Linked DNA regions of Mus musculus: region 1 is reported to be linked to region 2. Evidence: microRNA targets listed by miRTarBase, many of them from high-throughput screens and not tested one by one. Region 2 holds a microRNA gene; the other region holds the end of a gene's coding sequence.
What was found. Region 2 holds the annotated microRNA mmu-miR-1897-3p (UCAACUCGUUCUGUCCGGUGAG, at 6,484-6,505, shown strand). A microRNA usually pairs through its seed, bases 2 to 8, with sites in the 3' UTR of a target mRNA and lowers its output. Matches are read on the target gene's strand: a 7mer-m8 pairs with bases 2 to 8, a 7mer-A1 pairs with bases 2 to 7 and ends in A, and an 8mer does both.

Region 1: miRTarBase lists Rab39b as a target of mmu-miR-1897-3p. Seed matches in the 3' UTR shown: 7mer-A1 at 9,066-9,072.

What each region holds. Positions count from the first base shown.
Region 1 is chrX:75,563,492-75,579,205 of GRCm38, forward strand. It overlaps Rab39b (RAB39B, member RAS oncogene family), which reads right to left and starts at 14,740. Exons shown (of 2, transcript NM_175122.6): 1 at 14,302-14,740; 2 at 8,554-11,516. The coding sequence starts at 14,516. The coding sequence ends at 11,090. It overlaps Gm39522 (a long non-coding RNA gene), which reads right to left and starts at 1,720. Exons shown (of 3, transcript XR_878129.2): 1 at 1,025-1,720. It overlaps Gm25421 (a small nuclear RNA gene), which reads right to left and starts at 15,480; the gene lies at 15,317-15,480.
Region 2 is chr3:34,632,028-34,647,741 of GRCm38, forward strand. Mir1897 (microRNA 1897) reads left to right here and starts at 6,437; the gene lies at 6,437-6,515. It overlaps Sox2ot (SOX2 overlapping transcript (non-protein coding)), which reads left to right. Exons shown (of 5, transcript NR_015580.2): 3 at 6,331-6,612. RefSeq lists enhancers at 13,903-15,484, 14,058-14,508, 14,150-14,541, 14,256-14,366, 14,329-14,401.

The DNA of each region.
Region 1 (15,714 bases), not on the chromosome of region 2:
CAGCAGTGTACCCCAAATACTTGCTGTTTCTCCTGGCCACATGCTCATGGTCCATCTCCTCTCAGCTGACTGGCACTGTGCTTTGCTCTTGGGAAAAGTCCCAACTTCTGTGTTTTGATTTTTAAATTTACTAGGGGCTTCTTTAAAAAGCCTCCTTCATACTATCTCTCTCTGCAGGTTCCTTCTTCTTGGCTAAGAAATCTTTCCAGCTGTTTGTCTTGTGTTGTTCTGAGAAGCTTTGGCTTTGCTCTCCCTCTCCCCCTCTCCCTTCCCCTCCCCCTCCCCCTTCTTCTCCCTTTTTAAAAAAGGGTCCAGACCTCTTGTCTGGCTAGCCCAATTATTCCCTGCTTTTACCTGAGCCTTTTTAGACTGTAAGCTTGGGTTCTAATTGCCATTGAGTTAAGCGCCATTTAGTTGTAGTTATGCCCTGGTTCTGCTTCCAGCTCTATGCTCCCAGAAATATGATTCAGACTCACATTATATTTACAAATACTTTGGCTATATAGCTAGGCTCTACTTTGACTAAAATTCTTTTTCCTCCCAGTGTCTCACCTCTATTTCCTGCCTAAGCCATAGGTTATAGGCTTTTTAATTGACAGGTGAGGCATCGAAGCATCTATACAGTACACAAGATGATCTCTCTATAGAACATTTATCAAATATTTTAGAAAATTTAAGTAAAATATTTTTTATTCAAAACAAAACAACTTGCAATTTTGGTGTTCAATGTACATACAATTGTCAATAGTGAAAATTCTCTTTCATATATGTTACATTTAGATCTACAAAGATAAAAATTTCAGAATAATATAAATTGTTCAATACTAAAAAATACTATCCTTATTCATTAATTTATGTTGCTAACCTCAGTCAGAAACTGAGTAGATTTTAATGTGTAGTCATGCTGGAGGAAACTTCATTGCGTCTCCTTCACTGAATATAGACAATATATGGAAGAAGTATTTGAGACACTGAAAAGAAGATACCAGTGAAGCATCAGGAAAAACAAGAGAATTCATAGTACCTTGGAACCTTGCTGTGAGCATGCCACTTTTTCTTCTGGTTTCTTTCTACCAAATGACAATCTGACATGTCATGGCACAGCCTGAAAACTAAAATTCTGGATTAGTTTCCGGAGCTGCCAAAAGGGAGCCCCAGGAAAATAAAGACTACCAGGAAAGGGAAAAATGGAAAAAATTTGGAAAGTGATCCCATAGTGTTGATTTAAATTCCCAGGCTCCTATCTGCACTATAAAAACTTAACTCTATTTCTAGATTCTGAGAACTAAACCAAAAGATAGACCACAATCCAGTTCCCAGATTGGGTACCTGATTGTGGGCCAGCACAGGGAACAGCTAAGTGGCTTTGAAAGCCGAACTGATATGTAATCATAACCCACAAAGGACCTAGAAGATTTAAATAATCATAATTGCATGATATGAATACATTATATTTAAGTGTATGGAGTATAATAAAAAATGCTTGGTATATAAAGAACCACAGAAATACTTATTTACATGAAAAAACAAATAATGAGTTTATATAAATAACATAAAAATAGATTATAATTCAGAAAAAGCAAAAGTGTTATGACCAAGATCTGGTTCTTTGATAATATTAGTTAAAAATAAGTAAACCTTTAACAATGTTGAATAATAAAAATACAAATGAACAATATGAAAAATTTCTATCTACTCATACATTTTTTAATTACACAAAGTACCATATTTGAAAATTTACTTGAAGTAGATGATTTTCAAAGTATATATATATATATATATATATATATATATATATATATATATACATATACATATATATATATAAATTTATTCATGAGAATATATACATTTATAGGCTACATAATGCTCTGGTAGTCATTCCCGATCCTATTGGCCACTTGCCCACTCCAACTCAAAAGTGGCCTTGCTCTTTAACTTCAGAATCCATGTTGCTGCTAAAAAACCAGCTAGTTGGGGAACAGCTAAGCTGATCTCATAAGAGACCTGTAGTCCTACTCCAGGAAAGAGAATGAATATATGTGAAAAACAAAACATCCTCTTATTATTGAAAATTGATATTATATAAAATGTAGCTTTTTTGCTACAGAGGTTGAGGAGATGCTCAATAAAATTATCTCCAGATAGGGAACCTCGATATATAATAGTATAGTCTTACAAAATACTATTCACTCTGTTTAATCTGTGGCTTGTCAAATATACTTACTTGTAATGCCTCCTACCACCAGATTTCTTTTAATCACCATGGATTACAATCTGGAAATATTGTTATGAACCAGTCACAAACATGAATACAAGTGTAAATATCCTAAATATTAGTGGATAAAATCAAGCAGTATTTTAAAAATACATTGTGATTTAAGAAGAGTTTAGCATAATAATGTGAAGAAATATGTTTTAACATGAGCAGCTTTACTGAAATAATTGTGTTGACAGGTTAATGGTTGAATGTCATTTGATTCTCTCAGTGAATACCAGAAAAACAATTGAAAACTTAAGCATAAAGTCTTCCTCCAAATACTTAGTAGACTAGCAATATGGTAAAATTTATATAGTATTAGTTAATACCAACCTGGGGTTTCTACCCTGCCTTTTACCATTTAGTTCACAGATAAAAACACTACACTCAGCCTTTATATTTACAATTAGCCTTAAACAGCTGGGCAGATACTACTCTCTATGTGATTAGAATCTACTTTCCTATAGATAACCTCAAGTTATTACTTATGTTTCATCTGGACTGCTCTTAACTCCAACTGGCCAGCCTTCAGGGCCATCTTCTCTTGATTCCTAACCCATGGAAGCTTCTCCTTCCTACTCTCCTACCCCTTCCTCCTCCTTGTTCTCCCCTGAACCCAAGCCCAGAAATCCTAAACCCCACCTATGACTCCTCTGCCCAGCTATTGGTTGTTGGCATCTTTATTTACCAATCAGAAATAACTGGGGGGCAGGGTCATAAGTCAACATGCAGAATCCAGGTCTTGGGGGCTTGTACTTAGCATTACAATACATAGCAAGATCAAACCTCAACAGTTATCAAATTCAATTTTAGTCAGTGTAAATAAGAAAAAAACTGAGAGGAAAATATTAGAGAAAGAAAAAACATATGGATTATAATTTCTGTCTAACAAGTAGAAGAAACCCATTAAAAATTAGTTGAATAATAGAGTTTAGCAAGGATTTTCTTATAAGCTATTAAATTTTAACAAATTCACAAATTTCCTACATGTTAGAAATGATCAGTTAGAATAGTTGGAGCCAGTATAATTAATGTATGCAACCTACTTCAAAGTAAATAAAAAATTCTTGCAATAAACAGAATATGGCTAAACATGAGAAAACAATAAAAAGTTACTAATGAGCACAAAGCATTAAGATGATTTATTATGCAAAATTTGTAAAGATGGGTGTGTCTTCCATGGATCATTGTTCCTGAGTGAAATTAGTTTCAATAAAAATCCCAACCCCTGGGCTTGAGAAATGGCTCAGTGGATAACAACCACATAGTGGCTCACAACCATCTGTAATGGGAAGCTGACATCCTCTTCTGGTGTGTCTGAAGATAGAGACAGTATGCTCATATACATAAAATAAATAAATAAATCCTTCAAAAAGAAAGAAAGAAAGAAATTCCAACCCTAACTCAGGGAAAAGTTGACACATTTATTCTCAAATTCTCAAATCCTGTATAAAAGTAGCAAAGACAAATTTGAGATAAAAGGTAATTTTTAAAGTCTGATTGAATTAACCAAACTAGAACAATGTAATATTAGTCTAGGAGTAGAAAAATAGATCAATGACTAGATATGATGATTCCTGATGGAACCTGAAATCTATTATAAAGATACAGATGTTTTGTAGGTTTTAGGCAGAGAAGGCCTGTCTGCACCTAACATTATTGCTACAAAATATCAATATAACATACAGTATAAGAAATTTACATAAATTACAAAAATCAAAGGGAGGGGATGGCTAGAGAGATGGTTCACTGGTTAAGATCACTTGCTTTCAGAGGACTGGAGTTCAGTTCCCCCGTCTCATACCAGGTGATTCACAGCAGCATATAGCTCCAGCTCCAGGGGATCTAATACCCTCTCTTGGCTTCCATAGGTACTAGCATAAATGTACATAAATATAAGTACATTGCATGTGAGTGCACACACACACACACACACACACAAATTTAAAAAGCAAAACTCTTTACAAAAACTTTAAAATTAAAAGATAAAAACATTTATTGAATGGAAAATAATTTTTCCTCCCAGCGTATTTTCTAGCTACTTGGTTTATCAATTCTGAGGGAAAAGTTGTTTCCAGTTTCTTACAGATAATAGATCTTACTGCTAAATATTAGAGACTTCTGTATTACCAAATACCAGAATTTAGAAAAAAAGTCAGGATTTTTTTTTGCCATATATGAAGAGCACAGAAGAAATTTCCATGTACAAATTTGTCTTACTGATGAATGATAAAAAGCTCAGCACTCTTCATTAGTTATGACTACTTTTAACTCCAAGCATAGAAAGTCAATAATTAAAGATATACACATTTAAAAATATTGTGGTGAAGCAGGAGCATTTCCATGAGTTTGAGGTCAGTCTATATTATATAGTGAGTTTCAGAGCAGCTTAGGCTACAGAGAGAGACCCTATGTCACCCATCTCTCACTAAAAACTAAAATGTTGATATATTATTAACCTCTCCAGCCTGCAAAGAGTTAAAAATTATATAATACTGAATGTAGACATTACCATACATTGTTCATGGATTTTCAGTAAAACATTCCTATAGAACAATTTAATGACATATAAAAATTTAAATAAGCATGATATTTGATTCATAAATTTCATTTGTAAGATTTTTAACTTGACTTAATTAGGTACATAAATTAGATATATATGCATATATTTTATAAGACTTGATTAAATAAAATATCACATGTTCATACAGTGGAATGTTATTGTACCTTTTAGGAGACTTTCATGTAGGAGAGGTGAAGAAATGCATAAATCAAAGTGAGATTATTATCTAATATTTCAAAGAATCTTAATAAAGGTTGTCTCCAGTGTAGGGAAATCTATGATTCAATTATATTGTCAAGGACCCAGTTTTCTTGAGTCTCTGCTCTGCCATGTTCTAACTAACTCTTCTTTTGATCACATTCAATAAATATGTACATGCACTGATTGACTGTAGTTAGTAATTAGCAAAGACACAGAATCTGCCCTCATGCAGTTATAGAAAATTTACTGTATAAGAAAAAATTAACAGAACAATGTGTTACATGATACCATTTGTACAAGAGATTCATTTATGTGCAAATATAATTTCTATCATCTTATGACTATTATGACTAAGTGCTTTTTTATATGGATTGTCTCATCTCATCCTTACCACAACTTTATGAGCTAAATACCATCATTCAGTATATGATGTGTGAAATATATGTGTGAAAGGGGACTCAGAGATATTGAGTTGCACTTAATTTCTGGTAGAGTCAGAATTTGAACTTATATTTGTCTTGGAAGAGAAGATCTGTAATGAAATAAACAAAAACACTTTCTTTAGGAATTGGTAATTAAATGCAGTTGACTACAAGAGCCAAGAAAAAGGAAGAGAATATTGATAAATTAGTAGTGGGCCATGGTTGATTGCCTAAAGTTGTAACAAAAGTTTAAACAGGCCTTATGGGAGACAGTGACAAACAGATCTTGTAATCAGAGAATTCCAGAGGCTACAGAATAGAATCATGTGTGTGTGATCAGGAGGGGTCAAGGTCATTGGTGAAGAAAGTATGATTATTATTTTTATATAACTCACAGCCAGACAGATCAGATGATGGAAAGCCTTGTAGTTATGCCAAGAAATGTAAGATTTTTTTCAATTTTGTTCAAATGTGATGAGAAAGCATGGGTAAATTCTAATTTGGGTGAAGAATGACTTGATCTGTTATGGTATGATAACTCTACACATTTTGGGAATGTGTCATGGATATGTGAATAAGAAGTAGGGAGAAGGGTAAGATAATTGAAGTAGTTCAGAGTCAATAATAGCTTGGACAATGGTGATAGCAATGATGATGGAGAAAAATAGTTCTGAGTTTGAGGAATTTATATCTGTGTGTCTTAAGCAAATTAACTACATTGGTTTGATGCTTAAAAGATGGCCTGAATTACTTTGCAAAGCAGAGAGTAGTTGAAATTATGGGAGTGGATTGGATTGTCTGGTAAGGAGAGATTTTGAAGAGTAGAGGAACAGTATTGTGTCTTTCCACACAACTTCCGGAGAAGCTTAGTGAATGCAGAAGCCGTTCTACCAACAAATCCTATGACTACAATTTATTTCATTGTTTACCTAAACCCACTGCTGCATTATGACATTACCACCTACTCCTTTTCTGTGAAATATATCTCCAGGATTTCCATGATCTCCTTTTATGCCAGTGGTTCTCAACCTTCCTAATGCCCCTGACCTTTTAATACAGTTCTTTATGTTTTGGTGACACCCCCCCCAACCATAAAATTATTTTCATTGCTACTTCATAACTGAAATTTTACTATTGTTATGAACTGTAATGTAAATATGTGGTATGTAGGATATCTGATATGCAACCCTGTGAATCATTCAACCCCCAAATGGTTTTCGACCACAGGTTGAGAACCAGTTCTCTAGTTTTTTTTCCCCCTTTTAGGCATCCCAGAATCTTTGTTGTTCCTCAGGCAAGGTTAAAGAACAGGGCCTTGGTCTGTCTATCAGCAGTGATGTTTGGAGGAATGTGTTCCCTAGTATCTGTTAGCTATTCAAAGATTTTGGAAGCTTCTGACCCTATAACTTGATGGATTTGAAAAGCAATCCATAAAGCTATCTCAGAAAAGAATTAGGAGCAAGGGTAGAGCATTAACAAAAGCCCTGAGGTGGGAAAACTCTTGGCATGTTTGAAGAACAAAAAAGGAAGAGCTGGAGAGATTAAGAAAACATACTGCTCTTGTAGAGGGCCTGAATTCAGTCCCCCTATCTTGTGGGTCTTAACTGCCTGTAATTCTAGGTGCATGTTGTCTGTAGACATTTGGCTTCTGAGGAACAGAACACACACACACACACACACACACACACACACACACACACACACACACACACACACGTATATATAAAATTAAAATAAAGAACAAGAAAGGAAACTGAGATGAACAAGAAATCAGATGTAAGAAATGAGGTCGCAGAGGTGGCAGGATGGAATTCATTTTAGGGTTCTTCTGTAGACTATTGGAAGGATTTTGTGTTTTAAGCTGAATGAAATTGATAAGCACAGGAATATTATGAGTAGGTGACTGTTTTAACTCATGTATTATCAGACTCCCTTGGGCTGTATGGATAATAGACTGGTAGGGAAGGGGTAGCAAGAATGACTGTAGGGAGACCAGTTTTATCACAATAATTCAGGTGATAAGTGACAGTGGACAACAGCAGCATTAACACATTAAAGGTGTTAAAAAGCTGTTAAATTCTTGTCTTATTCTTCTGCCAACATAATTTTCAGATAGATCAAATGTGGAGTAAGAAAGAGAAGGAAAGAAGAATGACTTTAAGCTTTTAGGCAGGAATGCTTTGGAGAAAGTTAACATTACCTTTAGGAGCTTGATTAAATTCAGGACATGTTAAATTTGTCATTCTAATGGACAATCAAATTGAAATGACAGGTAAGTAGTTGGTTATGAAAGTCTGGAGTCCATGGGTAATAGATGAGCTCAACATATCAGTCCAGGGCTTACTGGCTCACAGATAATTTTTAAAACCAACGAATGGCTGGGGTCACCAAGGGAATTAATATAAATAAAGAAACGATAAGTTTAAGCCTAGATAAAATTTAAAGGTGTGGAAAGCTCTATGAAATGCAGCTTCATAGTTAATTTCTCTTTCTTCTTTTCTTACTCCTCCCCTTAATTTACTTAAGCCTGCAAAAATGATAAGGCAGTACTGAGATTAGTCTGTGTATGCCTAGATTCAGAATTTCTTTTATATTTCTTTCAGATGTGCACTATCCACCTTGGAAAGTGTATTTGATGACTGCATTCCAGTCTGGGTCCCATGTCCTCACATGATAGTATGCCACAGTCAGATTTGAAAAACACAACAACCAACCAACCAACAAACAAAACAAAACACCCAAGGGAATTTAGCTTGGAAAAGACATTCCAGTGAAGACAGTAGTTATAATTAACTACTTGCCTGGTGACAGAATTATAAATCTTGATTAAAAATTACAATGCTTAAGTTTTAGGCTTCACACAACCAACTTTTTACATAGTGGTTTGGGCTGAAAATGAATAATAATATTTCTGTGATTTTCAACATGAAAACCATATATCTTTAAAATTGTGTCCTCTTTTTGGCTTTCAGATACTTTTGACTATGTTTATGCAAGGTATGTCATATCCAATTGGTATACGCTACAGTATGGGATTGGTATCTTACTGGTATCCTTGTTTGCAACAATGAAGGGACACATTCTAGAAATAGCTACAACACACATATGGAATCTCTCAGTCACATGATCAACCATTTTACTAAATACAAGCATATTTTCATTCACATACAGCTAAATAAAGAATTTTTCACATTTCATTACAGTGTACAACAAATTGAGGCAAAGTATACAGTACATTTTGTTCTGGAATATAAGACAATCTAATCCAACATGCAGTTGTGATCGTTGTTACAGTTAATCTTTTCTTTACCTATGTAGTAAAATAGCTTCTAATGCATTATCCTTAGTATTTTATGAACACCTGATTTTTTCACATTTATTGTCTAAAACCCACTTATTGCAGTGACAACAGCACTGAATTCTACTAAAAGGATTTTTGAGATTTTTTTAAAACTTATGGAAGAAGTCAAGTTCAGCCACCTCTGCTGCATTTATGCTGGGTACTTTGAAACCCACTTTTAAAAGCCAGGAATGGCAAAGTATATAATGTATTTTCGTCAAGAAAACTGTAGACCTGTTTTATTTCTACCCCTGCCCCCTTGAGTCAACAAGAGTCTAATCAACTCTTATTTATCCACTGGATAATCCTGGGTTTTAGAACAATCTAGACATGTGTATCATTGTTGAAATTTTGTGTTAACCCACAAAAAAGGTTGTATTTGCCTTCTACAACCAAGAATCTGGCAATTTAAAATACGTGAAATGATTATAGAATGAATGATCATTTATCTGCAATTGATAATGTGAATTGGTCCAAAATGACTTGTTTATACAAGTTGGAGCAAAGGTGGCTAAACAACCTTTCATAATTTTTATTATTTGGGTTATTTTAGCTGAAACAAATTCCCAGATTCACACATATTCATTCTGAACTCGAACAGGATATTGCAAATATAATTTGCCATTCTTTCTACCACAATGTATATATGAGAAACTTGACTCTAATCAGAATAGTTTTCTTACTGTCAAAAGTATGGCTTTTGCCTAGCTGAACTGGCTACAATCCAAAAAGAAATTTAAAGCATCACTTCTTTTTAAGAAGATAATGAATTTTTCATCTCAGCCATTCTAATTTGCTGATGTGGTTAGCTGTCTGTTCACCTGAGAATTAAGAGCTGACTCTCTCGGGTAGACAGGAGCCCAATGTAGGTACATAGCAGACAGGTAGTCAAGGTCATTGTGAGGTGAGTACTTTATCCCCAACCCACTCCCCATTGTTGTATTTGGTTCCTTTTAATAAAATATTCATAGTGTTTGTGAGAAGAACATTTATAACCCATACAGTTTTAATGTGTTTTCAGTTGTGCAGTTAATCCCTTATTTAATGCCCTCTTGTCAATAATACCTGAGTGGCCTTTACCTTTTATTCATTTCTAGATTCCTGCAAGATTATAGCTGAGCTGTAAAACAAGGAAAACATATTCTATCATGTAGAGAATATTTATTTATAGTCACATGTCTCCAAAGGTTAATAAATTAATCACTTATTCATATGAATAATGATCCAGTGAAAAAAGCTAGGTATCAGGTAGGCTTGGTTCTTGCTTTCTTATTATGTAAAATGGGATCAAAAATCTCACAGTCCTATTATGGTGATCAAATGAGTGAAATAAATTAATATGAATAATTTTTAAGGATTCCAAGACTACGTGTTGAGCCAATACTCAGAATAGAACCAATGACCAAGGGCTTGACTTAGGGTTTTTGTTTGTTGACAATCTCTGTGTTGTCGTTGTCAGGTATCTGAAGAAGCAAGCAGTATACTTACTTCGGGATTATGGTTCCCTGATGCAGTGAAAGTCCAGGTATGATTAGAGGGGAAATAATGTGGCCTTTGAGTTACAGTGTTTCCTTTTTCTCCTTACATGATCATTTTACATGGAAGAATTTCTTTCACATAGTTGGCAACTTTATCATGCCAGTGTACACTTTTCTCAAATGTGATAACAACAATATGTGAATGACTTCCCTTTTCATATTCACAGCAGTTTTACTAGAATGCTAGACCTTGAAAGAGCTTTACCAAATAGTTGATTCATATGGGCTTTTCATTTTACAGTTGAACTGTTAGAAGTGGCTTGATGTGTTTGTATAAAACCCAGCACACATCTGGCACGGTATTATCATTGAATAAGTTGATATCATACTCTTTTTTTTTTCAGTTATCTTAATTGTCCCCAATTGATACTTGATTTCTTTCTATATGTTTCTTTATGGTCACCATGTCTGAAAAGTTGTAATACCAAGGAACTGTTTATCTGTCTGTAGGTGTTTTCCTGGAACCTAACTTTCAAATACCCAGACCCTTAATATGTGGTCCACAAAGGGCACACAGAGCAGCCATTGCTGAGCCTGGCCCACAAAACAAGGTCTGGTCCAGCCCCTGTCAGCAATTTAGTCCCTCAGTCACAGCACCCAGGCTCCCTATCTACCCACACATGAGCCTGTCAGAGATCCAGGCCTAGGAAGAAGGCTCATTTATTATCCAAACGTTGAGTTCTCTTCAGTCACATAAGGATTCTATTTATTTTGATAACTTTTAAGTTCAAGTGGGAGAGTATGTTTTGAAAATGGAAGGGTTAACTAGCACAAACATCTCCTCTCTGATTTGATAACCTCTTCTGAAGAATGAACAACATTTGGTACAAATCCACTCTTCACCCCTTCCCAACCCTCCTGGATTGTAATCTCCCCCCTTTTAACCAGCTCATATATGTCTCTTGTCAGGTCTGTGAAGGCTTTCTCCACATTAATGGCATCTCGGGCTGACGTCTCAATGTACTTCATGCCGTATGCAGCAGCCAGTTTCTCGGCCTCGTGGCGAGTCACTTGCCTCTGTGTATCCAGGTCACACTTGTGACCCACCAGAACAAATACAATTTGGTAGGGCTGAACGTGTACTTTGGTCTCTTCTAACCACTCATGGACATTCTGGAAGGACCTGCGGTTGGTAATGTCAAATAAGAGAAGACCACCTACTGAATTCCTGTAGTAGGCGCGAGTGATGGATCTAAAACACAAGAAAGAAGTAAAGAATAAAGTTCGTGCTCAAACTCCTTCACTCCAACGAACTCAGTGTATTCTAGTGTTCCTGATTCCTGACAGTCCTTTAGTAAATACAAATGCAGTCTATAACAATAATGACAAGTTTTCAACTGAGTAAAATGTTAAGAATGCTCGTGAACTTTCAGGTATTTTCCCTTGAATTTATTATAATTGATAACCCCTGAAAATATCTTGCAAAATATTTCATTTTTCTATTTATCATTAACCTGTTTTGTGTTTGTTTGTTCCCGTTATTGCTATTTTTTTCTAGCAGGGGTCATCAATCAATCTCTTCTGTGAGGAAAAAGACAATCTTGCTTTGTATTTCCTAAGCCACTTGGGAATGAGAATGGGAAAATGGGGATGGTAAAATGTTCTGAGGCAGGGCTAGAGAAATGGTGCAGTAGTTAAGAGCGCTATTTGCTCTCCCAGAGGACCTGAACTTAATTTCCAGCACACACATGGCAGCTCACAACTGTCTTTAATTCCAGCTTCTGAGGATCTGACATCCTCTCTTGACCTGCATAGTCACCAGCCACTCATGTGGTTCACAAACATATATGTAGGCAAAACTCTATACACATAAAATAAAACAACATATTTAATATTGTTCTGGAGAAAATCCTTCCATCTGTATTCACTGACAAAATTCAAAGAGGCTGACTGAGGAGGCACTAGCTGGGAGAATCTGCCAAAATAGTGAAAGTGTTCCAATGAAGTTATATTATTATTTTGAATCATGTAATTAGGTTATTTTAGCCTACTTGTACATTTATTGTACTTCTTAAACAGAAGAAACATCACATATTTTAGTTTCTTGAGTTGACGAACCTTATTACAAACATATAATGTGTTTTGCTTAAGAATGTAGAATCTCATGAAAGGATGTAGAATAACTTGCCTATATAATCACTTGCTTTAGACTACTGCAATTTTTGAAATCTATTTTTAGGATTTCTGTCTTCTTGAGAGGGTATGATAAATAATAGCTGAAAATGTATGGGAAAATGGCTCAGTGTTAATGTGGGGGAAATGTCTAGGGAATTACAGCCCAAGCTAGAAGATGATATGGGTAGGCCTTACAAATAAGTTCAGGTCTCTAGAACCAGGGATATTAGCCCTGGGAAATGGATATTCATAATTTCTTTATGTTTGAAGATTAATGGGGAATGATAATTGTATTGGAAAATGCTCCAATTTGTGAAAATGTTGATTTGAGAAATCAATGAGCAGTGTATCCAAGCTCTAGAATATATTTATGCATTAGTGGTTTGTATTTAGCACAGAAGATATCAAAGTATTTTAATCATAGTGTAAAGTTATATAGAACTAGACACTGACCCTAAATTAAAAAAAAACATAAAAATACAAATGACATATTGGGGAAATAGCTCACAACATACATGACATAAAAGGGTTAATGTTCTTTTTGTTAGACAGAAGTCCAGGCTGGCCTTCAACTACTTATCGTTCTCTTGCCTCAGCCTTCAGAGGGCTGGAATTATAGGGCTATGCCACCACTGTTGGTGTTGGGATAATCTGTAAAGTAGTCCTACAAATCAATACTATATAATACATAATAAATAGTAAATATGAACAAGCCATTCATACAGAGATCCCAGCAAACATATATAAGAGACCTTTCTTTATTCATGAGAACTTATATAAAGTATTTGCCAGAGCTTTGTACAAGTGGGAAGTTAGAGGCAACTTAATTACCTAACTAGTATCTTCTGCGTCCAACTAATGTTCAGTGGAGAATGAGTCAGTGTTTATGAACTGAGTCCTTTTGCTCTGGTTCCTCCTGTTCTACCTTACTTTAGTTCAAACTGTTCTCTACAAAGTTTTTATTAGTTTGTTTTCTGTCACTTATGTTTTATTTATGCTTTTCCCTATTCTGGGCATTTCCTATCTTTACTTGGGCTTCATCTTCTCCGGTCTCTCCTCTGTATTCATACATGAAATTACAAATAAATACTACAAAGGAAGAGCAAAGGATTGTGAAAGAAAAATAAACATGCTGAATGATTATGTGCCCAGTGGTACAGTAGGGAGTGGCATATAAATACAAACAACAAAACACTCTTTTGTGTGTTGCCTCTGTTTCTGTTTCTTCTGACCATGCTAGTACTGAAGTTCCAAGAAGTCAGGGGCTCTGACTATTTACTTTATATGGAATTCTCTTATGTGAGTAACCTCATACTATTTCTTCAGAAATGATTCCACCCTCTGGCAACTGACTGTATGATGGTTACAAGACAGTCAATTAATCAGTCTCCATTTCCTTTATATTAGGGCATATTCATTCTCTCTGTGTCTCTGTCTCTCCCTCTGTCTTTTCTTCCCCACAAATATAAACGGATATATAGAAAGAAGTCAATATACATCTACCTACCTATAGCTTTCAGTTATGTTAAAATGACTTGGATTTTTTTAAACTATGAATCATAGGGTCTGATTTTGATGAATTATACAGTGATCAATTTCAAGTTATTTATTAGCTACCAAAAGCAGATTGATGGAGTTGTGGTTCAAATAATGTGATAATGAATGGCCTTCTCCTGCCTGGGCGGTTCTTTCCTGCATCGAACTCAAAGGTAGCTCAAAGTGGGCTTGAAAAGCCCCAGACAGACCCTTGTTTGTCACCCTGGCAGCATCGCGAAAAGAACCGGGAAGTCCTCTTTCCCCAGGGACTGAATAAGCCCCAAAGACCCTCCCACTGCTCGCGCGGGCCCGTGGTGCACTCCCACCTGAACCTCTCTTGACCCGCTGTATCCCAGATCTGGAGCTTGATGCGTTTTCCTGGCTCGATCTCCACCAAACGGGAGAAAAAATCTACCCCCACGGTGGGATCTGAAACCTGAGCAAAGCGGCCCTCGGTGAAGCGGCGGATCAGGCAGGACTTGCCCACCGTGGAATCGCCGATGACAATGAGCCGGAACTGGTACAGCCAGATGGCCTCCATGGCAGTGGCCTGGCAGGACTCTTCGGCCCGGGCCTGGGGAGGCGGGAGGGGGCGCCCCACCAAGGCCTTAGCACAGATCAACCCGTTTCTAGATCGGCCGCGAGAACATCACTGGCCTGGTAGCCTGAAGCAAGGTAGGCCCAGGCGCTGGGGGAACGAAGGGATGGATGCTGCGCTCGCAAAGGTGATGAAATGGCAGCAGCATCAGCACCACGCACTCTGACTCATCACTGAAAACCGAGTTACTGTAATTCTCTGCGTAGACGCGGCAGTAGTTTCACCACACTGTCTGTTAGAGGAGCGCACACAAAAACGGACAGGAGAGTAATGTGTTCTGTTTTTAATTATACCGACCACTCTCCTATTAATATAAAAATTATTATAAAAATTAATATAAAAATCTCTCTGCCGTTACAATTGCAAATCTAATTAATTTTTATTAAATCTAGAAAAATACATAAAAGTAAACAAAAGTCGAATAATTGTCTTCTCCGGGTTTCCATGCTCAAACATGCAAATATTATTATTCAGGCATATGCATGTGCATTTATTGCTATTTATTTTTTAAAAGACACAAAATTTAATCCTATACTTTTTGTGCAAATAACAAAGTGTCATATACGTCTCTCCATTTCCAACACATTTTTAAAAGAACATTCACACTGTTTTCCCTAATAGCTGTCCTAATTTATTTATAACCAGTGGTGTGCAAGGGTTCCCTTTGCTCTACACACACACACACACACACACACACACACACACACACTTGTTATCTTTAATCTTGTTCCCCTCTGCTGATTAGAAGAGCACAAAATCAGTCTCCTCATTACCATAAAATATGCAATAAAGTTTCCCAGCAGTAGGAGAAATCCCAGGGAGTCAGCACATTTTGAGTGCAATGTATAAACCTTGCTATGGGTAATCCGCTTTCATGATCATGGCATATCTTGTGCTAGGTAAGTATCTCTTTTGTCTTTTTGATAATTGTCCTTCATATCTTGGTGAGATGATATTCTACTGTGATTTGCACTTTCTTTATGATTAGTGATATTGAATATTTTTAAGATTTCTTTTCATGATTATTTGCATATATTCTGAGAAATATGTTTAGATTTAATGCTTATTTTTATTGGATATGTTCTTTATTTACATTTAAAATGTTTTACCCTTTCTCGGTTTCCCCTCCAGAACCCCCCAT
Region 2 (15,714 bases):
GGGTAGAGAGCAATAGAAACCCTCCCCAGGTGTTCCTTTGGGTCATTAATTCCTCCTACACAACCCCCCCCCCGAAAAATACACTTCTTTTCTGTCAGAGTCTGCCACAATAATACTTTCTAAGAACATATTTACCGTTCATGGCTGTGGCTGAAGAGGTGGCTGCATCGGTAGAATGCTCGCCCTGTAGGCACAAAACCCTGAGTTTAATAATGCTAAGGCTGGCTAGCCTGAGTGTGGTAGTGCACATCTGTAATTCCAGCCCTTGGGAGAGGGAGACAGGAGGATTTGAGTTTATGGTCATTCTCAACTTTATACAAGTTCAAGGCTAGCCTTGACTGTAGGAGATGATATCTCAACAACCACAAAGTACCAGTGAGTCAGTTTCCCCAAGCCAATGCCTGCTCTTGTGCCTGGAGAGAGGGGAATGGAAAGAAGCCAGTGCCATTCATTTCTGCGCCCTGGGTCTGTGATTGCGATTGCGATTGTGATTGTGATTGATTGTGATTGTGGGGTTAAATTCTAAGCACTTGGGCTAAGGAAGCTCAAGCTTTGTACTTGGATCTGGTGATGTGAGAGGTGCATGATGCAGTCAGCTGTGGGGGTGCACACCTAGAACCCCAGCTCCTCAGGCAGGAGAAGCAGAAGGTTGCATTTGTCCTGTTGCTCTTATTCTTCCTTTAAAATTTTACTTCTTTTTCACTTTGCATCTGAGTTTTTGCCTGTATGTATGTATGTATGTGCACCATATGTATGCCTGTTACCCATGGAGGCCAGAAGAAGGTGTTGGATCCCTGGGAACTGTAGTTTTGACTTCCATCTGCCATGTGGGTGCTGGAAATTGAGCCCAGGTGCTCTGAATAGCAGCCGATGCTCTTAGCCACTGAGCACTTTCTCCAGCCACGAAGGGGCTCAGAAACTTAAGGCTGTTACAAAGGAGCTTTAAGCAAACCAAGGATATGTGGGACTCGGTTAGAAGACATGCCTTTTGAAAATGGCTTCAGTAGCATGAGTCTTGAGGTCTAACAGGTAACACTAGTGTTTTATTGATGCAGAAAGACTCACCTGACACTGCACAGCAGCCTCTTGCTTTCCCATAGTTAGTACCAATAACACTCTGGTAGCACAACCTGCAGTCCCTACTTTCCCTCCAACCCACCATGCCTCTGAGTAACATGCAGGTGAATTAATACATAAGTGAATTAAGAAACTTAGAGCCAGGCAGTGGTGGCACACGCCTTTAGTCCCAGCACTCAGGAGGCAGAGGCAGGCAGATTTCTGAGTTCGAGGCCAGCCTGGTCTACAAAGAGAGTTCCAGGACAGCCAGGGCTATACAGAGAAACCCTGTCTCGAAAAACAAAAACAAAAACAAAAACAAAAAAAACAAAAAAAGAAACAGAAACAAGTTCTTAAAATGTGTAGCATGTTTTAAATGTTTAATGTTTTACTTAATATTCTTTATTCATAGTTTTCTTTTTTTTAAAGACATTTTTTATTATATGTAAGTACACTGTAGCCATCTTTAGACACTCCAGAAGAGGACATCAGATCTCATTATGGATGGTTGTGAGCCACCATGTGGTTGCTGGGATTTGAACTCAGGACCTTCAGAAGAGCAGTCAGCACTCTTACCCACTGAGCCATTTCACCAGCTCCATAGTTTTCTTTTGAGACAGTAGCCCAGGCTGGCCTCAGATTCTGACAATCTCAGTACTTCAGGTCCCAGGTCCTGAGATTATAGACAAGGACCACTAAGATTATAGACTATACACAGTGTAGCGTATTCACCTGCTATACTGAGGCAACAAAGGAAAAATCCTTAAGGGAACAAAAGAACATCCAAAAAAGTGGAAAATAAGGAAGAGATCAATATGTTCATTGATTGGTGTGTCTGACTGTCAATCATATTGGTGTATAGAATGAGTTCAGCTAATTTATTTTTTTTCATGTTTTATTTTATACTCCTTTCTTTATTTACAATTCTAGTGATTGGACCTAAGGTCTTGCACACACTAGGCAAGCTCTCTTCCACAAGCTATAGCCACAGCCTTTTTGTCATATTTGCTTTTGTTTCTTTGTTTTTGTTTTTGTTTTTTAAATACAGCCCACCCCCAACCCCCATGTTCCTGGCTGGAACTTTCTGTATAGATAGGATGGTCTTGAGTAAGAGGCAGTGATTGATCCTGCCTCACTCTCCCTCTCCTGAGGGGTGAAATTATAAACGTGAGGCACTAGACCTGGCTAAAAGAAATATTTTCAAATACACAGATAAAGCATATGGCTGTTTGTATAATCTCAGTTCCTATATGAAAAGTATCCCTGAAGGAGTCCACAGTGCAGTCTCCCAACAGCCCTGGCTTTGGCTGAACCCTCCACTTAGTTAGAAAGCTCACCTTTCTTAGATTCAGGTTGTCTGTTGATACCAGGAAACTCAGAGTGTGCCTCGCTGAGCAAATGGCCTTCTTACAGCCCACAGCCCACTCCTGGTTCCAAGTCAGATTTGCTGACCTACCTCTCTGAGGTAACCAACAAGACTTTTCATCCCAGGTCCTCGTCCCTCCCTGGTGACTGTTACCCAGTCCTCCCTGGAGAATCCCAGGGCTCCTCTCCCCAAACCAGTCTGGCCACACTGTGTGCTCAGAAGAAGTATTCTAAAGTCATTTCAAAGTCTGAGCCTGTAGTCAGATACGCACACGCGCACACGCACACGCACACGCACACGCACGCTCGCGCGCGCACACACACATCATTAGCCTCCCTCCAGCCACCTATGAGTGAGCAGTAGCAGGAGGCCATGTCATTTGGGTTTAGGTCCAAGAGAACATGGACCGGTAGTGCCGGGCATGTTAACAAAGCTGACCTCCCAAAGTGGCTAGTCCCTTCCCGTCTTGGCTTGCCAGGAGCCCTTCCTCAGGCTGGGGGTAAGTCCAGCACAGTAGCCAGCAGGTCACCTTCGCCATGTCCTTCCTGCGCAGGAGATACAGAGATTCCTGGAACCCGAGGGAAGCTGATGGCTTCACAGGCCAGCTGTCTATAAGCTGGCTGCCATCTGTGCTGCCTCCTAGATCACAAGGTTCTCCACCTTTCTCTCCTCCTTCCCTCCCTCTTTCCTTCCTCATACTGAACGGAACGATTCCTGCAGAGGGCTAGCCACTCCCATTCTGAAGAAACCTCACCCATTCTCCCAATGGAAGACCTGTGCCACTTAGCCTAGGTCCCAGAGAGCCCATCTAAACACCCGGAGAGCAGCTACTGCTTCCCAAGCCTCTAGCAACCTTTTCGTGGCTCTTTGCTCCAAGCGTGGGGACAGTGGTTGGGGCGGAAGACTAGTCAGCTTTGTCCCTCTCCTTCCTCCCTCCTCTCCTCAAACCCTTCCTTCTTCCTTTCTACCATTCCCTCCTTCCTCTTCCTGTTCCTCCTTCCTGTTCCACCCTTCTTGCTCCCCCCCTCCCTTCTTTCCTCCCTCCCTCTCACTCTCCCTTCCTTCCTCCCTCCCGTCTTCCTTCCTTCCTTCCTTCCTTTCCTCCCTCCCTCCCCCCTCCTCCTCTCCCTTCCTTCCTTCCTCCCTCCCCCTTCCTTCCTTCCTTCCTTCCTTCTTTCCTTCCTTTCCTTCCTCCCCCCTCCCTCCCTCTCTCCCTTCCTTCCTCCCTCCCCTCTTCCTTCCTTCCTTCCTTCATTCCTTCCTTCTTTCCTTCATAAGTAGTTCCCCACTGACTGCAGATTTCTTATCTGCAATGGCTTTGAGCCATCACTTGCTGGAACATTTTCTCCCTTCCTTAATTAGCTCAGTGTTGGACTTTTTTCTTATTGCGTGCAAAGCCCTTGCATTAACCCTTTTTAGATTTTTGGTGACTTACATTCTTCTCTCTCTCTCTCTCTCTCTCTCTCTCTCTCTCTCTCTCTCTCACACACACACACACACACACACACACACACACACACGAACACAAACAAGCATGTGCCACACCTTCTTGATTGCTTCCAGGAGACAAGGGACAACTAATTTCAAACTTCTTAGGGCTGGGATGGTACAGATCTAATCTCAGCTTCCTCAGTGGAGAGGGGTCATCAGCTTGAGTCTTCTTTCAGTCCATGTAAAAAATGGGGAAACTTTGACCACATCCTTGTAAATCTAAATAGTGGAAACATAGGGAGAGAGGTACAATGGTCACTCTGGTCTTTCCAGAATCAGTTGCTATGACAACGTGGGCATTCAAGTCACACTTGCCTTCCTCATCCCCACAGTTCTTGGAAGTGTTCCTACTGATTGTATGGTGCCACACACACTCCCACAGTGCCCCAAATAGAAAATACCCACACATTCCATAGGCAATCATAAAGATCCCTCCCTCCCTGCACACACACTCATACGGGCTCAAGGTCTTTTCTTGTTGGCAGCAATGGGGATTAAGCCTATGACCTCATGCATGCTAGGATTGAGCTTTACAGCACCAAATGGGGCTCACTTTTTTCAACCAGTCTTAAGAAATGCTTAACTTCACCTTTAATCCCAGCACTGGGGAGGCAGAGACAGGAGGATCTCTGAGTTCAAGGTCAGCCTGGTCAACAGAGTTTGCTCCAGGACAACCAGGGCCACTGGGAAACCTTTTACTTTGTACCAAAAATACAGAGAGAGAGAGAGAGAGAGAGAGAGAGAGAGAGAGAGAGAGAGAGAGAGAGAGAGAGAAATGCTTAACTTTTTAAAGTTGTGCCACAATTTTTATTCTTTTCAGACTTCTATTAGGTTGCTTATCTCAACAATTTATACGATAAATAATTTAAGCCAGGCATGATGGTGCACCCTTTAATCTCGGCAGTCTGGAGGCAGAGGCAACGAGGCCAGCCTGGTGTAGTGAGTCCCAGGCCAACTGGGGCTGCCTTGTGAGACCCTGTCTCAAATAATTTAGAAATTAAATTATTAAGAAATAAGCCCTAAAATGATTTTGCTGCCAAGGTTTTGTTACACCACTGACGGCATAAGTCAGGAGAGTATAGTCTGTGGCTCTGGGCTCTTGCAGGCCTAAAGAGCAGCCTGTTCTCCATGTAGCCAGAAAGGTCCGCCCCAAACTCACCACTTCCCTGCAGTGTCTCCTGTCCCATTGTGGGGGCGCTGCTCAAGGTTCATTCGGACCCTCTTTGAGTTTTCATGTTTGGGTTTCCTAAGTGAGAGGAAGCAACTGAAAGAAAGGGAGCAGATGGCTGGAAGAGCCACCCTGAGAGTGGGGCACTGCGGCTGGAGGTGGGCCATCAGTCCGATCCCAGGACCCTTCAAAGTCACAAGTAGCTAGGAATGAATCAAAGAGAGCTAAGAGTAGGATTCACTGGGTGTTAGAGACCTTTAACTGCTTCCTCTCAGCCTAGGCTCCCAGCCTAGGATTTTTAGATTAGCAGAGAGGAAGGCCAGCTTGGAGTGGGGGGGTGGGGGGGGGGAAGTGGAGGGGAGCCATGCCTCCCCTCCTGTGCACATGGAAGAGGCACATCTCAAGATGGAAGAAGCCCTTGTTGAGATACGTGTGGCTGATTCATCTGGTAGCATGGTCCGCCAGCCTGGGAAGAGGAAAGCCACATTTCCTTAAGTTACTGGAACTGGGATTGCCTGTCTCTTCTCCCCCCAACCGTCCTTTCCCCCAGAGGCAGTTGAAACTGCGTTGCCTTCAAGACTGTAGTGAGCCTGAAGATTTGGGGTTTCATAAGGTTACTGCACTACTGATACAATTGCATGCAGATTTTTAAAGCCTTCCAGAGACAGATGTTTGGGCTGATTAAGAATTGAGGAGGAAGCTTGCAGCTGCACCAAGGAATAATGTATTGGACAAATATTTTAATAAAAAATATGAAGAGATCAGCCCGACCTTCCAAGGTCTTCTGCTTAAAAAAAAAAAAATCTTTATCAACCCCCTATTCTATGGGCTTCAATAAACAGAACCCATTACCTCACGGAATCTTTTGTTGGCCCCATACAAGAGAGAACAAAATGGTTATTCAGGGGAACGCTTTGGATTTTATTGTGAGTAGCCTGCACAAAGAACCGTGTTATTGTATTTAAAAGAACCATCTGTAGCAGAAACAATGGCATCAAATTATCTTTGAATACCCACTGAAAAACATAAAGCTTGTTTTTTTTTTTTTATTCTTCTGTACGGTGGGGGATAGAGCAGTGTTAGGATAACTGACTTTTTTGTTGTTCTCTGGGTGCATTCTTCCCGCTCCCCCTCTCTCTCCCCCTCACCCTCTCTCTCTCCTCTCTCTCTCTCCCTCTCCCTCTCTCTCTCTCTTTTAAAAAATCAGCCATTTGGGGTTTTAAGCCATAAACGATTTTTCTTGTTGCAGGGGATTGCAGAGGCAAAGCTAGACTAGGTCTTGGAGGCTGGTGTAAGGTGGTGCGCGGAAGGCAGGACGCTGATGGGAGAGACTGGTCGAAGAAAAGCCTAAATGGATTCTCCGTGCTTTGGATGGAGAAAGAGGGGGGAAGTGCGAGCTCCTTCAACTCGTTCTGTCCGGTGAGGAGTGATCCAGCTTGGGCTGACGAGAGGCTCCGGAGCCTTCACGTTCAGTGCTTTTTACCTGCCAATCAAACTGCTACAAGACAACACCCTGATCTGGCATGGTCGCGTAAGTAGCTTGCAACCCAACTTTGACATTCAAGGCTAGCTACCTCTCCCCACCCCCCAACACACTCACTCACTTTCTTCTCCTCTCATTCTGCCTCTTTGTGTGTGTGTGTGTGTGTGTGTGTGTGTGTGTGTGTGTCTGTGTGACCTTTAAGAGAGCTGGATACCCACCCTGTGTAGCAGTTATTTAACACAGGCCGATTTAAGTCAGAAGGTGTTAAGTTTGGGAATTAAATGCTAATTAAGATCTCTTTAACAAATGCAGAATTGAAGTGACATTTTATTCTCTTTGGGGCAGATAGTTTTGAGGTCTGAACGTAATCAAGGTGCTGTATGTATGTATGAAAGGGGTGTGTGTGTTTCTTTTTAAGCAAAAACTAAACGTCTGTGAGTCCCTATAGGTAAATCCAATAATGAAAATTTTCGGGTTTCCATCTTAAAACTGTTAAATTCTAGTATTGCTCTCCTACTAAGATCCTTGTGCAGACCGCAGTGACTTAGATGCTGAAGGGCTCACTTCGATCCCTGTTGGGACTGGGGGAGTGGGGGTGTGCTGTAATTGGGGTGAAAGAGAGCTTGAATTTAAAAAAGTGAGACAGGGGACATGACTAACCCTCATTCTTTATGCAACTGGAATAGAGGGAGATAGAAACGCAAGGGGGCAGGATCATCAAGAAATATTACCTGAGAGGGAATACAGAGGCTGACGAGGCTGGGATCTGGGAGGGCTGAGAAAAGCTGGCTAGGGCGCTGGGCTACTCTCTGGCGCCCTCTAATGACAAATCGGACGACATTACCTTCGCCATCCCACGCTCAGCAAAGGTTTTTTTTTTTTTTTTGTAGCTGCTGAAGCTGTGGTTTTTGTTGCGCTTGTTTGGTTGGTTGGTTGGTTGATTTGGTTTGTTTTTGCTTTGCTTTGCTTTGCTCTGCACTTAGTAGAAAAGATAGGTATTTTTCCGTCCAGAAACTTAGTACAGGTGATTTTTGGCGCGCGTATTGCCTCCAAGCTGAGGATGGCTGGCTGTTTGATTCGTGGAGCGAGGCCCTGTGGGGATGAGCAGTGTGGGGGGAGGGGGGCTTCTCAGCCTGAGAAGTGTGGTTGGGAAGGCCAGTCTGAGGATCCTGACACCCGCCCATCATCGCAATTCAAGGAGGCTCCTGAGGACCTCTGTCACCTAGGCGTGCAGTGGCCAGGGGCCTCCCTTTCCTTCTTTCTCCTCCTCTTCGTCGTCGTCGTCCTCCTCCTCCTTCTTTTCCCTCTTTTTTTTATTTAAAATTTTGGTAGATAAAGGTTAATCTTGGGCTGAATGATAAAGCTATGATTGACAAGAGAAAAGGTGTTGAGGGCAGGTCGCGCGGTCTTATTTACAGCCCACTGCTTGCTGTAGAGCCTTTGTTAGAACTGCAAAACTAATCTAGTGCTGATCAAAGCACCACGGAGTTAAAGGACGGTAATGACTGCTAATTTCATTCCAGCCTCAGGCAACCCCCGCCGCTGTAATTAAAGACACGCTATTTAAATACAGGTGAAGGGTAGTTGGTTGGTTTTCTTTTTTTTTTAAGTTGGGGTGGGTGTGGGTGGGGTTACAATTTTATTTAGACTTCTTGTACTAACGATGGTTATGTGGCCCAACACCCAGTTTTTCCTATTAGAATTCCTTTTTGTCATTTATACCTGTCTTTGAGGCGCCAACAGAGTAAAATGTGTCCATCACATAACTGCCGCGTTTAAAGAAAGTATGGAAGGAAACAGACCAGTAACTGTTTAGTGAGGGATTTAAATATTTGAGTCTCTTTTTTCCACTTCGAATTAACAGAAGGGCCTTCAACACAGCTAAAATAAAAGTATTAGAAACTTGTGGCAGGGTCAACAGGCCAGCCAGAAGAATAAGCGTCAGCTTTTAAAGTACTTCTAAAGGAACGTATGAACGTATGAAAAATATATTTTTAATTAAATAATTTCCACACACAGTGTAGCTGCGTATTGGCTCAGAAACCTTATAATTTTACAACCCATAGGAGTTTCTTTACAAGAACATCAAAGCTCTACATTTTCATAGTTGGTTAAAACTGATACCCTCTCTTCATACACACACACACACACACACACACACACACACACACCACCCAAAAAGAATTTAGCCTTTAATCTCTTTTTATCCGCAAAGACGAAAGCTCTACGCTCGACCTCGCCAGCGGCTGTCGCGGTCGGGCCGGGAGCAGCTCAGAAGAGAAGCGACTCCGCGGTCTCACGCCAGCGCCCCCTATTGGACGCAGTGGGAGATACACAGCGCCCTCCCGAACCCGCTTCAGCCCTTGCCCTGGGGTTAAAGAAAACTCTTTATTGCCCCCAGAAAAGGAAGTGGGGGTGCGGAAACAAGTTTTTATGCCCCGAAAAGATAACTATACTTCAACAAAAGCCAAAGAGATTACATTCTTTTCCATTTCATTTATTTAAAAAACGGCATTCCTCCTTACACCCCAGTTTCCCCCACCCGCATCCTGGCTTGGTTTGAGGTCTTCTTTTAAAGGCTAAGCGATGGTACTACAGGGAAATAGAAAAAAAAAAATGCTTCTTCCGCTTGTCCGCTTTTCATAAAATAACACTAAAGCGAAGAGAGTGCTTCGCTTAAGCGCCAGCTGCGGTTCAGATACAAGGTTTCCAAATATAAAGTGCTTGGGTGTCTAGTGGATGAAGTAACTCGTTTATATTTGATTATTAATTCCAGAATGTAATTAAAAGTCCTGTCTCTCCTTCAAGTATTTACCTCCCCTCCTCTTCCCTCGCCTCAAACCACTCTTGATCAAACTTTTCCTTCCTGGCAATCGGTTAAATACAGCTATTGTCTACCAAACAGGTGTCTTTTTCTACTTTGATATCAATGTAGAATTTCAGGGAAGATTGGTCTGTGATACATTTTATTGGTTAGGACTCCAAGTTGTCCTGGAAACAGTTTTGATTTGTTTTATTTAATACTTCCAAACCTGTCTGTGTAAGAAAGAGTTGTAACTTCTGTCAGCGAGGGAGGGAAAGTAGCCGCCTTGTGACTGATTCAGAAAGGCCGGCTACAAAAAGAACACAGCCTCTGACTTCCCAACAAAGCGGGAAATGTTGGTTTGTTTAGTTTAAAATTTAAAAAAAATCAACAAATGAACAAAATGGCCATTTCCTACTTCGGGGACATGTTTGCCGTTTTAACTTTTATCAGCAAGGTTAGGGCTTGCCATCAGAAACTAGCTTAACATATCCTAACAGGATAGCATTCTGCACATTTAATGCCATATCCCTGCAAATCTGCTGTTGAGGGTGTGTTTATTCCTGCTCCAGATTAGCGGATCCAAGATGGTTTTTAAAGGAGCTGCTCCGCGCGATGACGTGCCCTCTCATCTGATTCCGGGATCGGATCTCGGACGAGAGGGGATTTTTGAGAAATCTACCCGACAGTCGGTCGAAATGATGGACATTCAGGAGCCGTTGCCTCGGCACCTCCACCCTTTTTCCACGAAGAGGCTAGGCCTGGTTAGGGAAATCCCAACCTGAGACTAGCCTCGCGACCCCCCACGCGCACCGAGGAGCCTGGGGGACGCTTCTTGGGCGTCCTGGGTCCCAGCGCTGCGGTCATCTGTCTCGCGAAGCAGAAGAGTAGAGAAACCAAGAACAGGTCCTGCCTCGGAAGCGGACTGCAAAAGGGTTAGACAACCGCCATTGCGGAGTGTGGAAGAATTGTCGGCGAAGGAGTCTTCTCTCCAGCATACGGACAGAAAACCTAGGCAAAGGTCAGAGGGGACAGGCGTGCAGCCCACTAAGTCCGCAACTAAGCCATGTCGGTGGAGAATGCACAGCCAGGTTGAGCAAAAAGCAGTGAGCCAGGCTTGAGCGCGCCACCCATGCTCGGTTGCATTGTGATTCTGCAGCCGCAGGTGGCTGAGCCCCGGCCCCAATCCCACGCCACAGGACTGCCAGCCGGGAGGAGGCCCCTCCACCTTTGGAGACTAGGAAGGCCGCCAAACAGGGACTGAGATCTCCAAGAAGGCAGAGCCTCCTGGGGCTGGCATCCCGCCGGATCTCCCCAGCCGCGCTGTACCCTTTAGGGGCGTGGCAGGCGCTTTGGGTCTGTAGCCGCGGCATCCAGGCTTGAGCCCTGGCGGGTTGGCTGGGCGCCCTGCTTTGTAAAGTAGTGAGTCTTTCGAGATCCTGTGAGCCAGCCAGCCGGGTGGGCCAACTTAGCTTAGGTCCACTGAGTCCAGGCCAAGTCCTCAACCCTTCCTTCCTTCTTTTCTCCCTCCCTACCTCCCAAGCTTAAAACGCTGAGAAGCAGGGTGTGTGGTTTGGACTTGGGCAGGCTATTTGGAGATGGGGCAGGGACAAGGCTTATTAATAAGATCCAGGTTCGAGGATGAGCTTTCGTTTATTGAGTTTAGTCTTCTTGTTCGGGGTTCTTTCTTTCTTTCTTTTTTTTTTTTTTTTTTTTTTTTTTCTGGAAAACCTTTAGCTCCTAGAATTTAAGTCCCAGACAAAGAGCCAGGGAAAGAACCGGACCAGACTGAAAGGAGCAGAGCTCCAGACAGATCATCATCTCTCAATAAACTGCCAAGCTGTGGCTCCAGAACCAGAGCCCAGCAGCTACGTGGGCTGCTGAAGAGTGCAGATACCACAAGTACAACTTGACACCATTGAGCCCACGGTGCTTGTCAATAAGCTGTGAATTAGGTGTAGAGACTGTCACCATAGATCATAACAGTTTCTGAAGGACTCATTACAGCATAGCGTGTCAGTGATCTCCAAATTAAGGGAGGGGGGGTGAGAGAGGAAGAAGGAGTGGGGGCCGCCAACAAAAATCCAAGAAGGGTGGGAGGAGAGATAAAAGTCAGAGCCCCAGCTAAGAAGAAGGCTTTAAAGATTATCAGGCCAGCGATCTAAGAATTCTGTAAGGATGGGTTTGGAAGCCCAATTCTGAGCCTGGGCTGGGAGGGATGCTGAGGCCAAGCAGAAGTGGGCCTCAGGGAAAGCTGACGTTCTCAGACATTGCCTTTGAGGTTAGAAGAGCTTTTGGAAGCGACCTCCTGATGTCAGCAGAAGGCCTGAAGGATGCCAGCCCGCCCAGAAATGGGAGCATACCGATTCACAGCTCTTTAGCACGAACCACAGTAGCCTTGGCTTCCTTTAGGTCTGGTGGTGATTGTGGGTGACTTTCACCACGCAGGTTTGCTTTGGCTTCTTGTCATGCTACAGGTGGAAAGCTTTCCTCTGTTCCCTGAAAGCAAAAAGAAAAAAAAAAGAAAAGCAGTCCAGTGCAGTGAAGCAAATCTCCCCCTTCCTTCGGCCTGCTCTTAGGCATCCCTAAGACCCTTGCCTTCCGAGGCTTATCACTTTCTGTTGTCCCGTCGCCACCGGGTAGAGGTTCCGGCAAGGAAGCTTTTGAGTGACACAAAGCAGAAAGTTATGTGAGGTCACGGAGGAAAGACAGAGCTCGAGGCTAAGTGTTCTAGCTCCTTGGACTTTGCTGCAGCAGTCACATGTCACCGGCCTGCATTGCTGTCACTTAATATGGGTCAGAAAAACCTCAAGGAAGGGCTTGGGTTTGTTTTTAGATGGCACAATTAAATAAAGTAATTGCAGCTAGAAAAATTTTAAAGAAACATCTTTTTCTTGAAATTACGGGAAACAATCAGGGCCATCGGACAAAAGAGGACATGTGTATGCCTTTGGTAGGATGAATTGCCTAAAATATTTGGCTGTCAAGTAAGTGTATACATAGACTTCCAAGCGTTGATTTGGAGGTGCAAAAGGACTAATGTCTCTCTGGAGTGTTTGGACTCTCTGGTGATCCCCCACCCCCCCACACACACACCCCTGATTTTTAGAATCAGAAGTGCAATTGAAGACCAACAGTAGCTGCTCTTCCTGCCTCCGGTTTGTCTTTAACAGGGGAATTTCTGTCTTTAAAGCAATTAGATCATCTAAAGGGCAAACTACATTTCCCCTGGACAGCAACAGCAGTGGTAGAAACAGAATCTCAGGGTTGATAATTCATGAAATGGAAATGAAAAATAGTGAAGTGTGAATCCTTTGCCCAGAAAAAAAAAATTAATGATCTGGAATATCTGAAAGATCTAAGAATACATGAACCATTGTAAGTCATGTGATTTTTTTTTACATACAGCCCAGAAGACTCAAAAAGGCAGTTTTAATATATATATGTATATATTTAAAAGCAAGAGGGAAATATGTTAAGTTTCTAACTGCCAAACTCTTTTTTTTTTAATGCATTTACTTCATCAGTGAGAGGTGGAATGAATTGAGCACAATGGTCACTGGGCAGACCACCCTGCATTCCGCAGGTTTCAAGGGTCCTTGCAGCTCTTGAGGGAAATTATTTGGTAAAATTGGGTCTAGGCTTCAACAGCCCCTTGTCCATTTGTTTCATATAATACCACTTCTGAAAATTAAAGGCAAGATCCTGGAGAGACACAAGGAGAAAAAAATATGATTGAGCAATTTTAAATTAGCAGTGTACCTTGTATCCATATGGTAAACAAAAAGGGGTAGAAGTCTGTGGTTGCTCTTTGTAGCATCTTGAAACATGGATTATGGACCCTGTCAGTCATCTCTCACACTTACCAAGTTTAACACTGACCATGGGAAGAAAACGGGATAAGTAAGGCACCAATGAAAGAACAGCCATTTTCCTCAGTTATACTAGGAAAATGAAGGTGCCCCTACAGTCTGGTCAATGAAGGGAACTTAGGTCAGAGGAAACCTCACAGCGAAGGGATTCATTTTCTAATTCCTACCTTAACTTTCCGTATCCTCATTTCTCTAGCACGTTTCTTGTTGATTATTTTTGGAAGGTATGTGATTTTTTATGTACTTATTTATTTGGAAAATAAATCTTCCAAATGCATTTCCCTGTCGTCATCTGTGTTTCCTAACTCTTAAAGCTCTGGTCCCTCTGAAGGCTCAGCAGTTTCCCCACCTGCCATGTGGATTGACCCAGCATTTTTTGTGACTCAGAGGGCAGAAGGAAGCATAAATTCTCTGTTTTCCTATAGTATTGGGGCATAGACAAACAGAACCTCATCAGATGCATGGGCCATTCCCTAAGCCTCTTAATAGTCTCTGCTTTTAAAATCATGAACTTTTCTATAGTTTTTGTATTTCAGGGGTTTTTGTTGTTGTTGTTGTTGTTGTTGTTGATTTGCCTCTTGAATGCCTGGCTCCAATGTAATGTTTCTCGCTGCAGAAGGATTCCTGCTATGGTTGTGGTCAGAAGAGATGCTCAGAAGGTTAGCTAGCATAAAGAGGAACTTAAAGGGGGTGGGGGGAGCACTTCGTTTGGTTAAAGCTGGTTCCCAATATATTTAACCAGTTCCAGAATTAGAAAGCCTTTCTGTACATTTTCTCTTATTTTTCTTGCTACTTTTCCTTATGTAATGAAATTAAAACTTTTGGAACCCACAGTTGACATTTTTCAGAAAATTGAGTTATCAAGGCAGTAATTATTTCTCGGGGAGATAAAACTCTCATAGCCCTAACTGTCAAATAGGGCCCTTTTCAGATTTTAATTACAAAATAAAATTAGTCTGCTCTTCCTCGGAATGGTTGGCGAGTGGTTAAACAGAGCTTTCCCCCAATACTGGTGGTCGTCAAACTCTGCTAATTAGCAATGCTGAGAAATTCCAGTTAACAAGGGCATTCTCCGAGACTCTGCAGGTCCCCTGCCGTTCGCCTTCATTTCCATAAGGAGATTAGGAGAGGAGGGGAACCCACTCAAATGCAGATGCAGGAGCGAAGCGTTTTTAACAAGCATCATAATAGTAAGATGCTTGGCTAGTTCTCGCTAATTACTGCAACTTAAACCTCTATTTGCCACTAAGAAGAAAAAAATAAGTCTACAGTCCGCACCTCCACAACATTGTCAGTTGGCTTCAGATATAATACTCGTCGAGGAGAGAAAAATGTAAAAGATTTTTAAATAAAATTGGGTTATGCTTGGCAGTTAAGGCTTCTGGCTTGGGCCAATAGCAGAACAAAATAAAATCTGATTACTCCAGGCATATGCTAATCACTAATGCTGGTCTAAAAGTGTATAGCTTTTTGCTGCCCATGAAGGGAAGTATTACATTAGATGAAGCACTTCCAATTTTCATAAACTATGCCAGTAGCAACATTTTAAATTCTCAGAGGATGAAGCACCCTGTTCCAAGTCTCTTTCTGCTAGTCAATAGTGTATTGTTGCTGGTACTGTAGTCAGCTATTATAACCCCAAAAGAGGCTTGCCTCTGTCATGGGCTGGGGCTGTCATAGTTATTATTATACTTAGGGGACTATGATGGTGTTGGATTGAAATCGGTGGCCAGTGATCTAATTTTTTTCAATATGTTCTAAAAATATTCTAATGAGAAAATAGGTTTTGCTACCGCCATCTTCTTTAATCTTATTTTCGTCGCAAATTATTATGCATAAACACCAGCCACCATTAGTTTATTGCCTCTGATAAGTACAGTAGACTTAATTAAAATAAAGCTGCAAATAAATACCACAAATGATAACACGACTGTAATGCACTCCCATAGTTTATTCATATGATAAAGCAATTAACAAGAGACCTAGCCAGACCCCCTTACCCTCTTTAAGTAGATTATTACAGAGTTCAGGTGCAAACACACATTGGAGAGGTTCAGACTATCCCCATTGGGGGAAGGAAAAAAAATCTGCCTCCTACTAACCTTGAAAGAAAGATATCAAGATTTCAAGAGATGTTCTTTTATCGTCATCCATTATCAGTATTTATATTAATAAATATTCGCCACCGTTGTCCACATCAACTCGTTGGGGTTTTTTTTCTTCAAACTTAATGATCCATAAGCTTTTTCTAAGTTTTCAGAAAAAAGTGCTATTAAGCACCTACAGATACATACACAATCACAAAGTGAATGCTCGGCCTGCCCTTCGTGGCGCGCGGACAATCATAATTCATTCATACTTTGAATCTCATAATTTATACCTATTTTCCCCTCGCTTAACCTCCCACTTATCTGGCGGTTCTATGTACATTTCTAAGTTAAGCAAATTAAATTTGATTCTTATGATTTCGTCCCA